2 linked regions of the Callithrix jacchus genome follow. The protein of the gene in region 1 purifies or fractionates together with the protein of each later gene. This does not show direct contact. Links are inferred from orthologs where the notes say so. Each region holds a gene or a part of one and is shown in the gene's direction. Other genes may lie near its edges.

Region 1 (4,025 bases):
TACCCCTCATTGCAACCCTACCAGGCAGGTTCTATCGCATTCACATTTGACAGAGGAGACCCAGTCTCAGAGAGGGGGAAGTAACCTGAAAAAATCTACACAGCTACGAAGTGGGCCAGGACTTAAACTCTGGTCCCTCGCTCCAAATCCAGTGCTCTTCCCCCTTGCCAGTCTCCCTGCCCAGACATTCATGTGGCATTTTGAAGGTTTGAGGGCATTTTCATGCACTGACCTTCACAGCTATGATTCAGGCATGGTTCTCTCCATTTGACAAGTCATCGGGGGCTGCTTAGGACTGTGCTGAAGCTAAACCAGGAGCACAGGACCTGAGGGCCAGAGGCTGGATGAGGGGCACGAATGTAGAAAGTACGGCATTGCCTCCCATGCCAGCCCCTAGGGCAGCAGCCAGCAAGTTGTGCAGTCCCTAGGAGCTACTGTCTGGGTCATTTCCTGGACCCATCAATTCAGCTTTCATCAACAGTGATGAAACACTGGTTGGCTTTTCTTCCCATAGAGAAAATAAGATGGATGGAGCCTGCAAGCTCATTAAGGACAGAGGTCATGTCTGTTTTGTTCACTTCTTTATCCCCAGTGTCTTCCTAGCACAGTGCCTGGCGCAAACTAGCACTAAGGATGATGATGGCTAATGTATATATCATATTTATGTTATTTATGCCTTGCAGGGGTTCTGAGCACTTTACATATATTTACTCACTAAATCTTACATCCCCCAGCTGGATAAATGCCATTATTACCCTCATTTGGCAAATAAGGAAACTAGGCATGGAAAGATGGGCAGTAAATAAATATTTGAGGCATGAATGAATGAATAAATAGTCTTATCATACTTCAAGTCACAGAAATAAAAACAATCCCTGCAGCCCCTGGAGTACCAACAGGAGGCTAAGCACAGGAAGTGAATTAGGATTCTCTTAGAATCTTTCTGAACCCTCCCAATGAGGCATATACAATTAATTCTAGTTTACCAATAAGAGTAATTGAAGCTGGCAGAGGTCAGGTCATTTACCCTGCAAACTGACAGGTCTTGGACTTAACCCCAGGTGTGTCTGACTCCAAAGCTGGCCCTCCTAACCTTTGAAAGCTCTCTTGCTTCGGTGCCTATCCAAAACACCGAGAAGGCAAAACCCAAAACAACCCAAGCAGCAAAGCAGGTATCACTATACTCTTCGACTCTTATTTTAGACACAGTTCTAAGAAGCTGCTCGGCTTCACTTCTCAGGTCCAGCAGCTGCAGAGGAATGGTGTCAGAGCGGCTTCTTTCTTACAGGAAGGTAAGAGGGGGTGATTAAAGTGATAAACAATGAAGCCTAGGAGCCTGGGCCACTGTGTGTTGGGGCAGCTGGGTCTATCCACATCAAAATAGTGCACCTGGAGCACAATTATTGACCGTGAGTTGCCAAGGAGGGTAGCATTGTGCAAGAAACTGCAAGGGTGGAGGGCGATTAACTCAGGAGCCACGTCAAAGAAGAGGGCTGGAGCTGTTCTGCCCCTTCCTGACAGATTTAAACCATCCGAGCCTCAGCTTCTTCCACCAGGGAGGTGGAGACAGTGATTCTAGCCCCCCACAGAATGCCGGCAAGATTCAACAAGCTCTTGAAGGTGAAAACACTTGGTCAACAGTAGCCAAGGCAAGTTCCAGAGTTTGATGTGTTCTGCTTAACAAGACTGGAAAGTAGGCTATACATTTTTTGGATATTTTCCAGCAATACAGGGAAAATCATAAAAAGCCGTGGCACAGTCACGCACCATATAAGGAGATTTTCGTCTAATGACAGACCACACATATGATAGTGGTCCCATAAGATTATATTGCAGCTGCCTCTAGAGGCATACCATTTTTTATCTTTTATACCGTATTTTAAATTGTACCTTTTCTGTGTTTAGATCTGTTTGGTTACACAAATACTACTGTGCTACAATTGCCACTGTGTTACAGTATTCAGAGTAATAACAGGCTGTACAGGTCTGTGGCCTAGGAGCAGTAAGCGACACCATATCATCTAGGTGTGTAGTAGGCGAGACCCATCTAGGTTTGGGTAAGCACACTCCACGATGTTTGTACAATGACGGAATCACCTAGCAATGAAGTTCTCAGCGTGTATCCCCATTGTTAAGTTTCATCATCCAGAAAGTTCCCTCTTGTAGGTCCCCTCAGGAAGCTGATCACAGGAGCCATGACTAATTGTCAGCCTCTTGGCCTTGTTACTAGACTATCCACCTGGTTCGCCTTCTGCTTAAAGGTTACCCATGATCTCAATCCACATGTCTAATGAGATCAAGGACAGGCAGAGCAGGACACTGGGTATAGACTCTGAAATCTAGAAGTCACTCATTCAAAATGGGGCCACTCTGTGGGGACAAGCTGCTGAAAAACTGGGGCTCCCGCCTTCAGCCAGCCCCTGGGGAAGTCATTTGGACTCCAAGCCAAATATGGGTGGGAAGGATACCAATTAGCAGCTTGCTGGATCGCTCAGTGGAAAGGCTAGACTTGGAATCAGCAACACCATCATCATTAACTTATTCTCACTTGCTGAGCACCTATCACAAAGTAAGCATTGTGTGGGCAAAGCAGGGGATTCTGAGACAGGCAAGTTCCTGACTTCAAGGAGCTCCAAACTTACTGGAGGAGGTGCACACTCAGCCTCACAACAATCCTGTGCTTATCATCTCCCTTCTAGAGGTGTGGAAACGGAGGACATCTAGCCAAGGTAAATCATTTACCCAGGATCCTCAGCTGGCAAGTGGTGGAGCCAGGATTCAAACTCAAGCTTTGGCTTTAGAGGCCACGCCTGCGGTCCCTACAACCAGCGCAATGGACAACGCAGATAAGTGCCGTGGGGGAACACGCAGGTGAGGAACTTGGGGGTGGGACTCGGGTCCAGGGTGGGCTGTGGAAACAGCTAGATATGGGTTGTAAAGTTGCTCTGCTGCTCATTCACTGTGGGGAACCCTGAGGCTCCACTGTTTTCTAAAGCAAAGGATGGCGATGATGCCTCCATGGAGAAGCGTCGTGCAGATGAAAGGAGCCAACCTAGGGAGGGTGCACAGTGCCATCTTGGGCATGTTCCCCTGGACCAAAGGGGTCCTGAGAGAGCACAGAAGGTTTTGTGGGGAGGCTGTGGCCAGGAAAGGCCTTCACAGAAGAGGTGGCTTTTAAGATGGGGCTTGAAGGATCAGTCAGTTTGGCTTAACTTCAAGGAAGGGGGCAAGGTGGGGCAGGCATGAGCAAAGACACTGGAGATGAAAAAGCTGGGGCCATTTGGGGAGCAGGCTGGCTGCAGCCCAGGGAGAGAGCCGGAGAGCAGAGCAAGGCATGTCTGTAAAGGAAGCTGAGTCCACATTTCTGCTAGAAGGGCAATGACCTCTGCCCATGTTTCCTGAGACCCACTCTGCGTATGTGCCTGACACCAGCCATTATTGGGTCCATTCTTTGAAGACATCCTCTATATAGAAGGTCGGGGACAAAGACAGCAGAGTCACAGCAATGAACCGACAGCTTCCTGTCCTCCTCTTCTGCCTCCCCCGGGGTTGTGCATTACGCAACACTGGAGCGCGAAAGGCCTGTACTGCGACATTAAACCGACCGCCATTTCACTGTGCACTGGCAAAGGCGTGCGCATAGACGCGCATGCGCTCACACACACACACAGACACACACGCGCGGGGTGAGAAGCCAATTTGATTCTCCAAAGGATTGCATAATTCTTAGGTGATTCTAAAATAGCTAATGAAGAATCCACTCTAATCTTTTTAGGGGTGGGCGCTGAAGGGCTGAAGAGCATTGCTAAGACACTTTGACAGAATCATTAACAAAAAATAAGCCGCCAGCACTCAGTTGCAAAAGCAGCAGCTCCTGAAACCACCATCTTCTACACATTCCGAGGGCCACAGAAGGCTTCTGGATGACCAGAGTGAGTGAGGGGGCAAGCCAAACGAGAGGCCTGACCAGCCCAGGCCCTCCCCACCAACTCCCACGGGTCACAGTCTTCCCCTCTGAGATGAGC
Region 2 (3,500 bases), on another chromosome or scaffold:
TCATGTCTTCTGCCCTTCTTTTCCTCCATCATTTTCTCCCTCCATCTCTCCCCTTCTCTGTTCCAGGAGAGTAAGCTATCCTTATGGATCTTTGAAGGAGAAGGTGGTCCATTTTGACTATGTCAGGGTCCAAAGTGTACAGTTCTAGCATTGGTGGTTGTAGTAAAGCTTGGGCTAATTATATGGCAGAAGTCAAAACTTGATGGGCTTCTGGCATGTCAGGTTTTCTGCACCAACCTCCTGAGTGGCAGAGGGACTCTTCACAGTTTACCTTTCTCCTTTTGCCTACTACTTATTAAGACAGTTGGGGTGGCATTGGAGAGAGGGTAATATCTAATGAAGGACAATACCTAATAAGCTTGGCATTTTGACCCAGGGTCTGATGAATTCTCAATTTGTATTGTAGCTGACACCTCTAACTGTGCTTGTATTGCTTGCTCTCACAGGAGACATTTTTCTTGTCCGTGGTGGGATGCGTGCTGTGGAGTTCAAAGTGGTGGAAACAGATCCTAGCCCTTACTGCATTGTTGCTCCAGACACAGTGATCCACTGCGAAGGGGAGCCTATCAAACGAGAGGTGAGTTTTCTCCCTGATCACAGTATCCAATTTCGTGATTACTCAGTGTGGCATCATGTGGTAACTGTCAAGACTGGGTGCTCGGCTGTCCGCAGTGGCTTACGCCTATAATCCCAGTACTTTGGGAGGCTCGGGGGACAGATCACTTGAGGTCAGGCATTTGAGACCAGCCTGGGCAACATGGTGAAACCTTGTCTCTACTAAAAATACAAAAATTAGCTGGGCCTAGTGGCGCACATCTGTAATCCCAGCTTACTCAAGAGGCTGAGGCAGGAGAATTGCTTGAATCCAGGAGGCAGAGGTTGCAGTGAGCTGAGACTGTGCTACTGCACTCCAGCCTTGGTGACAGAGTGAGATCGTCTCAAAAATAAAAAAACAAAAAAACAGACTGGATGCTTTTTGGAGAACTAAGCATCTTTCAGGGATGAGAAATCTGCCAGATATTCATTTCTGGGTCTAGGTGTTTTTTGGAGATACCTAATGCCAGGAATTTCAAAAATCTAGACTGAACCCAAAGTATATAAGTGATTGAAATCAATTTTGAAGTATAGCTGATGGTGGCTGAAGGCCTTTGTCCATTCCCAGAGTTTCCAGCCTCAGATTTTAGAGACCCCCTTCTCAATAAGACTACGAGCAATGTGAGAGGCAAGGACTGTGCTAGAAATCTTTGCCTTGGGATTTTTATAGCTGTTCTTTGAGGCTGGATCCCTGTAGAGGAGAATCTTCTCTTTTTAATTTAATTTAATTAATTTTTTTTTTTTTTTGAGACAGTTTCGCTCTTGTTACCCAGGCTGGAGTGCAATGGCGTGATCTCAGCTCCTGCAACCTCCGCCTCCTGGGTTCAAGCAATTCTCCTGCCTTAGCCTCCAGAATAGCTGGGACTACAGGCATGCGCCACCATGCCCAGCTAATTTTTGCATTTTTAATAGAGACGAGGTTTCACCATCTTGATGGTCTCGATCTCTTGACTTCGTTCCACCCGCCTTGACCTCCCAAAGTGATGGGATTACAGGCATGAGACACAGCGTCTGGCAATTTAATTTAATTTTTAATGACATGAGGGTCTCGCTATGTTGCCCAAGAACTCCTGGACTCAAGCAGTCCTACCTCTGCCTCCCAAAGTGCTGGGATTACACATGTGAGCCACCGTGCTGGGTTGAGAATCTTCTTATATGGTAGGTTTTTGTACACTAGGTAGTGGAATGATTTAGAGAAACTCAGCTTCTGCTGATATTATATTCTTGCCTTCTGCTTTCTTTATCTCTTTTTCAGGATGAGGAAGAGTCCTTGAATGAAGTAGGGTATGATGATATTGGTGGCTGTAGGAAGCAGCTGGCTCAGATAAAGGAGATGGTGGAACTGCCCCTGAGACATCCTGCCCTCTTTAAGGCAATTGGTGTGAAGGTGAGCATTTTGGGCTCTGGGATCCAGTTTAAAGTGGTGATTAATGACTACCCAATGTCTGATCCTGGGACTTTTTCATACGTGGCTTTTGTTATTGTCTTGGATTAGAGGGGCAGTAATAAATCCTTTAATTCACTGAAGGCTCTAAATTCATTAGAGTTGATGGTATAGAACAGAGCAAGCTAATTAAATTCTCTGTTGTGTGCATATGCGCACAAACACATGCACACATATATATGGGTTTTTTCTTTACAGCTCTTAGAATGTAAAAGCTATTCTTGTCTCAGTGGACCCTGTAAAATCAAATCTCACCATAGTTTGCCAGCCTATCTAGAGCAGTGTCACCTGGTAGAAGTAAGCAAGTTAAGGAAATTTTCAGAGTCTTTTTTTTTTTTGAGACGGAGTTTCGCTCTTGTTACCCAGGCTGGAGTGCAATGGCGTGATCTTGGCTCACCGCAACCTCTGCCTCGTGGGTTCAGGCAATTCTCCTCCCTCAGCCTCCTGAGTAGCTGGGATTACAGGCACACGCCACCATGCCCAGCTAATTTTTTGTATTTTTAGTAGAGACGGGGTTTCACCATGTTGACCCAGGATGGTCTCGATCTCTTGACCTCGTGATCCACCCGCCTCGGCCTCCCAAAGTGCTGGGATTACAGGCGTGAGCCACCGCGCCCGGCAATTTTCAGAGTCTTAAAGGGTTCTGAGTTTAAAACATTTGAGAACTATTGGTCTAGAGTGTAGTTTCCCATTCTTTTCTATATCGTGGAACACACTGAAAATGAAGTTACTCATTTCCTTAGTATGTGTCAATAAACAAATAATTTCATCTTCTATGTTCAATGTCCTGCTTGTAAATAAGGCCATAGAAAGGGTAGTGTCAAAGAAGAAGATTGGTGATTGTAAGGAACATCATTCCAATGTGATAAATTCTGGAAGGTATGATTACTGGAGTAAGTGATCCTCTGGCAATGACGAAAATAGACCCTGCTCTCTCAAATGTCTTAGCTAGTCTTTGGCCCTTGGTCTGCCTGAAATTGAGCCCTTAGTGTAATGTCCTTTTGCCTTTTCCTAGTTACGTATCTTCAAACTTATTTTTCACTAGAGTTTCTCTGCCCTTAGTCTCCTATGCAAGTTGCAATCATAAATGTTGCTCACTTTGTAGCAGTATTTTCTGTGCTAGTGTGGCTAAAGTAAGCTGTCTTCCTAGCATTTACTGCTGAGGGCTCATTCTTAATATTGTCAGGGTTGAAGACTGATTCTCGCCCTCTCTGGAGCCCTAGTCAATCCATTTTAGGGTTTGGGAGAAGGTGAGAACCTAATCACATTCTGCATTGGTCCTCAGCCTCCTAGAGGAATCCTGCTTTATGGACCTCCTGGGACAGGGAAGACCCTGATTGCTCGAGCTGTAGCAAATGAGACTGGAGCATTCTTCTTTTTGATCAATGGTAAGAGACTTGGTTCATCTTAGGTCTAGCTAGACCCAATTTTGAATGGGGACTCATGAGCTGGAGAGCTCATG

The links.
Region 2: the proteins of UBXN10 (region 1) and VCP purify together in Homo sapiens (affinity purification with western blotting; 3 studies listed by BioGRID and IntAct, with this or other methods). This does not show direct contact. The link is inferred for Callithrix jacchus from reciprocal best matches to the Homo sapiens genes UBXN10 and VCP.

Annotation. Positions count from the first base shown.
Region 1 is NC_133508.1:57,038,131-57,042,155, forward strand, and holds the start of UBXN10 (UBX domain-containing protein 10), read left to right. Parts: upstream 1-1,225; 5' UTR 1,226-1,292; intron 1,293-2,699; 5' UTR 2,700-2,871; intron 2,872-4,025. UniProt on the Homo sapiens protein: VCP/p97-binding protein required for ciliogenesis. Acts as a tethering factor that facilitates recruitment of VCP/p97 to the intraflagellar transport complex B (IFT-B) in cilia.
Region 2 is NC_133502.1:141,942,947-141,946,446, reverse strand, and holds part of VCP (transitional endoplasmic reticulum ATPase), read left to right. Parts: intron 1-446; coding exon 447-577; intron 578-1,849; coding exon 1,850-1,981; intron 1,982-3,323; coding exon 3,324-3,426; intron 3,427-3,500. UniProt on the Homo sapiens protein: Necessary for the fragmentation of Golgi stacks during mitosis and for their reassembly after mitosis. Involved in the formation of the transitional endoplasmic reticulum (tER).